2 linked regions of the Danio rerio genome follow. The protein of the gene in region 2 binds, or shares a complex with, the protein of the main gene of each other region. Links are inferred from orthologs where the notes say so. Each region holds a gene or a part of one and is shown on either strand. Other genes may lie near its edges.

Evidence for each region. The genes of interacting proteins can lie anywhere in the genome.
Region 1: the proteins of morf4l1 (region 2) and sin3b are in contact, whole or in part, in a cryo-EM structure (PDB 8BPA), measured with the Homo sapiens proteins. The link is inferred for Danio rerio from reciprocal best matches to the Homo sapiens genes MORF4L1 and SIN3B. Residues at the interface, in NP_996670.1 of Homo sapiens: Gln217, Gln219, Tyr222, Ser348, Tyr350, Glu351, Val352, Ala353, Pro354, Pro355, Tyr357, His358; in NP_056075.1 of Homo sapiens: Cys394, Arg396, Arg402, Ala403, Pro405, Lys406, Thr407, Tyr408, Ser462, Phe463, Pro464.

What each region holds. Positions count from the first base shown.
Region 1 is NC_133183.1:15,981,093-15,984,752, forward strand, and holds part of sin3b (paired amphipathic helix protein Sin3b), read right to left. Parts: intron 1,145-3,660; coding exon 454-1,144; intron 1-453.
Region 2 is NC_133193.1:21,425,068-21,428,727, reverse strand, and holds part of morf4l1 (mortality factor 4-like protein 1), read right to left. Parts: intron 3,118-3,660; coding exon 3,050-3,117; intron 2,684-3,049; coding exon 2,597-2,683; intron 2,436-2,596; coding exon 2,355-2,435; intron 2,202-2,354; coding exon 2,176-2,201; intron 1,972-2,175; coding exon 1,883-1,971; intron 77-1,882; coding exon 1-76. UniProt on the Homo sapiens protein: Component of the NuA4 histone acetyltransferase (HAT) complex which is involved in transcriptional activation of select genes principally by acetylation of nucleosomal histones H4 and H2A.

The DNA of each region.
Region 1 (3,660 bases), on a different chromosome or scaffold from region 2:
CTGCATGGTCAACGGCACCTGCGGTCGCACCAAAAAGGCAAAGGAAGATGCTAAGCATCGCACAAAAAGTTGAACTTCTGGACATGCTAAAGGAAGGTAGAAGTTACGAGGCTGTAGGGTATCATTACGGAATGGCTTTGATTTTTGGTTTAATTTTTCTAAACTGGACTTTTTTTTTTTTCCCGATGGTTTGAACTTCGAGAGCATTCAAACAAGAGTGAAAAGTTTGAAAATGTTAATGCCTGTCTGAGAAAAGTGCATAAGGTGTTTTACAGCCTTGAAACATCTATAATAATTGAAAAAAAATAATAAAGCTGACTACTTGGCCAATTTTGCCTATTGCAGGCTATTTTTATAATGCAACTCCTGTGAATAACAAGGGACCACTGTATTACATTTGCAGTCATCATGCTTGCGTGCTGATTTGTGCAAATTTCAGAAAGAAAAACTCACTCGGCTGCTTTAGACGGAGCTCCATGGCCAGGTCGTTTGCCTTTTCCCTGCGTCCCTCTCCCATGAGTAGCCGTTCCCGGTTCTGTTCGGCCCGGTGCTCCAGCAACTGTCTCTCGGCCTGCCTGTAAATCTTCAGCAGCCGCGAGCACAGAGTCTGGTGCAGCCGCAGGAAGAAATACCAGTTATTATTGACGAAGAACAAGTTGTAGACCCCATCCATCTCCTTCTGATGCTCAGCCTCTGGGTCCCTCAGATCCACCGCCTCTCCTTCGGGATTAATGCTGTGGGCCACTGTTGACGTGTCCATGCTTTGAGGAGAAGTGCATCGTCGTCTTCTGGACTCGCCGTTCAGCTGTTGTTGTCCTGTGGATGACACTCCACCTCCTGCGGCCGCACCGTCTTCCCCCTCGCCCTCCTCATCCGTGAACTCCTCAGTCTCGCTAAGCTCTCCACGACGGGCGAAGAAGAGGTCTGGGGCGAAGTGCTGGATGATGCGCTTGATGTGGTCCTTGTCGTCCTTGTGGATGGTGGGCTGCCGCTTGACGTGGTAGATGATGAGGGAAGCGGCGTCCTCCAGGATCTGTTTGTCCTCATAGTTAAAGATCATGTGGGGTTCGCTGGTTGACGCTGTGCTCGTGCCGTCACGGCCTTGCTGGCCCACGCTGCCCTCTTCTGTGCTCTGCTCCTGCCGCTGTGCAGAGGGAAAAAGAAAGCGCTAGTAAGCATGACATTAAAGACTTTTGTAACAACAAACGTGAATGGTTTCTCAGTATAGGAAGTCATCATAGTTGGGTGAAGTTAGAGCGCAGTGAAGTGGACAGTACAACAAATACTTTTTTTTTACAAACCTACTTGCTGAAACAATAAGAGAAAAACTTGACGATAGTGTTAAAACTTTCAAAAAAAGGAAACAAACTCAAATTTACTGTTCTGCCCCCATACAAGTTGTATTTCAAATGCCTCACATTAGAGGTAATTTGTTTTTCGTAATTTGATGCAAAGATACAATACATACGTAAATGCACATAAATGTTCATAAGTTTATGTTCTAAATATTAAAAACGTTAATGAATGTAAGGCGCTGATGACCGTTAAATGTCTCATACCAGTGAAAAGGGTCCATAGTAACAATCAGTGTGTGATAGTTACTTTTAAAGTAATATAGTACAACCTTAAGACTATCTTACTCTTAAAAAAATCATTACACATACTTTCACATCACTTCCCTTAAGAAAAAACTGAGTAACACATTTAGTTACTTTTTTTAAAAAGTGACTTAAGATTGTAATAGTTTACTTTAATAAGTCATTCTACCCAACACTGGTAACAATATAGGACAGGTATAATTTAACTTGGCTTTAATTAAGTGTTAATTTGAGCTTTTGTGGCATTTAACACCATCGACACAAGTTTGTTATAAAAGAGGCTTTGACTAGCTGTGAAATTTGGCAAATGGGTAAAATAAGAGTGAAAGTGAAACAAGCAAGCATAAATTAAAAGGATGAATCACCCAAAAATGAACATTTTGTCATTATTTACTCATCCTCCCCATTTTCCAGACCTAATGTCTGTACTTCGTACCTCGCTTAAATGATCTAAGATGATTTGGCAGATCTTGGATCTGTTCATTTTGATAACTGGTCTCTGGCTAATTTGGTTCTTCAAACAAGTTTGTGAATCAGATTAAAATGTCAGGATGAACTGATCTGAGATTGCTGTGTGTGTTGAAGAACAGATCTATCGATCTGCATAATTATGATCAGCAATGCAACGATTGGCTGACGGCACAGCAGCGTAATGACATCATCTGATTAATTTTCAATTGTCCATTTGAGCAATATAACGTAAAATTTGCATATATTTTAATATATATATATATTAAGGGTGGAGCCGAACCCGAATACGGTATTCGGAAAGGCACGAATGGTGTGTTTTTACGAATACTTGATTCGAACAAATACTTGAAAAATTATTTTTATTCGGGAGCAAGAAAAACACTATATCAAAAAGCAGCGTTTCCTCATGAGACCACAGTGCATGCCCGCGTGAGTGAGTGAGAGAGAGAGAGAGAGAGAGAGAGACACGCTCAGTCAGTAGTCGGAGGGCGGGGCGGAGGTGTCTGGCACAAGCTTCTCCACAGCAACAGACAGAAGGCTCGGCTGAGCGAAAAAAATACTTCACTGCATCACTACTTTTGTTAAATAGATTTTTGTACCTTAATTGGGTTCCAAAGGCAGTTTATTTGTAAACTTGTAGCGGAGTTGAAGCGGAGTTTAATCGGGATATTCTATTACGCTGCATTATTGACGTCTGCAACCGGGTGCTCTGTTTACGCAACGTTAGCTCTGTTAGCGCTGTAATTTAGACAATAGACTGTTGACAGAGTAACGTTAACGTTCTTTTATAAAGGTTAAAACGATGCTTTTGCAGTTGTGTCGAATAGTATGCACTTATGGGAGTTATATGGTACGTCTAAATTACTGTCTTTTGCAGACAGCAAGATATATGCTATAGGCTAGTTAACCTTAGCATAGCTTCCCGTCACTTTTTATTAACTTGAAACTCCTCAAATACATTTGGGCACCCGAATAGAAAAAGAGTGAGACTGCTGCTGAGCCATTTCTTGGTCCTCCACCAGTCAAAAGAAAAAAAAAAACTTGTTCTTTGTGGAAGCGTTTTACAGTCAGTGGTGCTGCAGATAAAACAAAGTGATACTGTATAATGTTTACAAAAGTGAAATCAGCAGAGGCAGAGATATTAAACATCTTTCAACATCTTCTATCCATAATCATTCATTCATTTCTTTTCGGCTAAATCCCTTTATCAATCTGGGGTTGCCACAGTGGAATGAACCACCAATTTATCCAGCATATGTTTTACGCAGTGGATGCCCTTCCAGCTGCTACCCAGCACTGGGAAACATCCATACACTCTCTCTCACACACATACAATAGGGACATTTTAGCTTACACAATTCACCTGTATTGCATGTGTTTGGAATGTGGGGGAAACCGGAGCACCCGGAGGAAACCCACGCCAACATGGGGAGAACCCAGTCGGGGCTCGAACCAGCAACCTTCTTGCTGTCAGGCGACAGTGCTACTCACTGTGCCACCGCGCAACCTTCTATGTAATGTATTATATCACATGCACTAAAAGCATCCTCTCCTGATACTGTCTGTGAACCCCCCACAAGCATCAATCCCC
Region 2 (3,660 bases):
AGTCATCAACCAGCCATGGTTTTAATTCTTCAGGAATTTTTACTTTTACTTCTACTCTGTTGATAAAAGTCTCCTCCTGCACACAAAACCAGCAAGGCCATCAAAAACAGCCTCACTCTTAGCATCTGTTAAGACCCTTCTTTGGAGAAAATCATGTTTTTAATATTGTTTACTTGTCAATCTTGTCAATATGTGTAAAAGACAAACCATGCATTAGGTATATTCTCCATTTACCTACCACCACAAGCATGTAAAAAAAAAAAAAAAAACAAGTCTTACATATGCCATATTCACTTATTTATTGTTCAAAGAATCTAATATGTTACTAGGTACAGTATCCGTGTATTATGGCAAACCGAACAGGTTTTTGTAAAATTAGCAACACATTCTTAATGGTTTATTATATGTTGTGTGGGGCTGATTTGCAAATGTATGATTGTCATTATTTGCTCACCCTGGTGTTGTTGCAATGCAGCATGTCTGTTTTTCTTTTTCAGAACACAAAAAAAAATAGGGTATTAAAAAAAGAAACTGCGAGTTCATGATGTTCTAAGATAAGCATACAAGTGAAGTGACAGGTCTAATAAATCGTTTCATAAAACATAAAAAGCATCATCTTGACATGTATTCTCTTATTATCCCTTAAGCATGAAACGTTTTAAGTTAATAAGTTGATGTGTATATATATGTATATATATATATGTGTGTGTGTATATATATATATATATATATATATATATATATATATATATATATATATATATATATATATATATATATATATATATATATATATATATATATGTGTATGTATGTATGTATGTATGTATGTATGTATGTATGTATATATATATATATATATATATATATATATATATATATATATATATATATATATATATATATATATTAGTTATTTATTTATTTATTTTATTTTTTTTACAAATTAAGGAGATATCATTCGAGATTTGGCATTTCCACACTAGTTTCTCATGCAATACTTTAAAATGTGTATTTGCTACAAACACAACAGGTATATTCACCTCAGAAAGGGGCATATATTGTATTTTAATCCACATTTCATGTCAATTATTAAATATGTGTACGCTTTTTCCAGCCATAATTATGCTTTAGTTTAATGCTTGATGCTGGTCGGTATTCACTAGCTATATTTCCATCCACCAATTTAATGAGTATTTTGGATACGCACGTAAAAAATGGTTGATGGAAAACGCCAAGATTCGCATCAAATTTGAAAATGTGCATAAAAAAAACATGCACATAACGGAGTAGGATAAACTTTTTATTCAATAAGAAAAATTGCACATAAATTACTATCTAAACACTTCATTGCATGTCAGCATTTGCTTCTGAGACGCAAGTAATTGATTAAATAAAGAAAAGATTGACGCAGCTTTTCCTACTGCAGCAAATTCCGTTTTTAATGTTGATATTTGGCAACAGTTAATCAGGAAGTGACAATTTTGTTCTCTTTGACTCATTGAATGAAAATTCTTCTTTATTTGTACATCTTTTATGCGATATTTCAGTTTTTCACGTACATTTAAATCCTGACTTTAGATAAAAACATAGCTACTGTCTGTATATGAATGGACAGAGCAGGGTTTTTCTCTCTCCTTTGCTGGTTCATAAGGGTATTTGGCATTACAACAACACAAGGGTGAGTACATTTTTGTGTGAAGCATCACTTTAGGGCATGAAAAAATATTTCATACACGCATACAACAAAAAAAAAGCAAATATGTCTTTTTGATTATACAACATGCATTTTAAGAGGGTAAAAACGCTTTCCTGGGGGGAAATAAAATGAGTAAGTCTCTAAATATTGACCATTGGCTTTTAAAGATTAGAAGTGACATACGCTCTCCACAGTCGGGTCAACACGTGCCCTCTTCTTGCGTGGGGGGTGAGGCATGTCCCCAGTGCTAGTGCCCTCTCCAGCCCCTGGCGCTGAGAAGCAAACAACACACAGATTCTTATCAGTAACAGTCAATAACGAAGCTACAGTGAAAAATGTATTAATGTGATTACATCTTTGTTAACAAACACTACATCTTGACAGATTTGAGAAATTATTGACATTTAATTAACATTAATCCAACATTTCTGACAGGTTGCAAGGCATCAGTATTTGTAAAGAGAATTGAAACTTACTCTTTTGCTTGTTCTTCTTTGTTTTTCTAGTGAAATGAATAGAAAGCCCTTGGTTAAAAATGCACCAGTAAACATGAGTTTGCAGTTTTGACAGCTCATTTTAAAAATTCTTGATGAAGCAAGAAGCTGAGTGCAGTCGAGGGCAATTCAACCCTACGAGCAAACAAAGTAACACTCACACATCTACATTTTTTTGCTGCACAGCAGCGATTTTCTTGCTCGGTGCGACACCCCTCATCCTTCCCTCAACATAATGGTCTCTGAAAAACAGTGTGTTCTGCATTAATTCTTCTCTCATCAAATAGATAAACATGCATCACAGATTGTATAAAATCGGTCTATTGAAATAGCAATGAAACAGAATAATAAAGAGAGGCATAAAGCACTTCCAGTGGCATTTAATTAAACTTCTTTCACTCACTGATTTGCCTTCTGAAGCTCTTTCTGTTTCTGCAGGTTACTGTCCACATATTTGAGCACACGGCTTTCAGGAACCCATTCGTCCCAGCTAGAAACACATTGATCACACTTTCTTAAAATAAATCATTAAAAATAAGTCACTTGTAGACTACATTTACAATTTCAACTGGTATAGACCATTTCAATGTGGTCATGTAATCGGCCCATGAACATTTTCTGCTTATCAAACCTTTTCCTAACTGTAACAAGTGGCAACTCAATCATAACTTAATATTAAAACAGCTATCATATGTGGTTGTTTTTGGATTCTCGGCAGCTAAAGAAATTAAAAATGTAAAACAGGAAATACGTTGGAACCATTGTTTTTGTTCACATCACTCAAAATGGTCTATAACCTGTGTAGTAAACAACAAATCAATGCAATTAAGTGAGCATTTTAAATACACAGACTTACTTCTTATTCCATCCACTGTAATGAATAAAGTATTTCACTTGTTTGTCCTTGATATTGATTTTTACACACTGTAAAACATAAAAAAATACATGATTAATGAATCATCTTTCTGACATCTTTGGAGAAACAACATTTAAACTATCTTTCACAAACAAAAAGAAAATATCATGATGGCAATATTGCCCAAAGGTATAGCTCTTTAATAAAAATCTAAATAGGAATAAAATAAAAATCATTTAGTAAAAGGAAAAACCTAAAATTACACAAAGTTAACCCTCAACTGCACGCATCATGATAGCTCTATAAAAAAAAAAAGTATTTGACTGTTTTTCTTTTCTTGGATTGGCTTAACTTGAAGTGCTGCAAAAAAGATCTGGGGAAATGAGAAGTTGAGGTACTTTATGATATGCTGCGATATGACAACAACATCCATTAGTGGATCTAACTTTATTTAAAATGTAGAACTTTCCTTATGAATTATAATTTTGTTGTTTGAAATTATTTAATTGGTGTTGCAGAGTTAAAAGCTTTAACACAGAACTTATAAATGACACCTTATACGGTTGAATTTAGAATTATTAAACCCCCTTTTATTTTTTCTTTATTTTTAA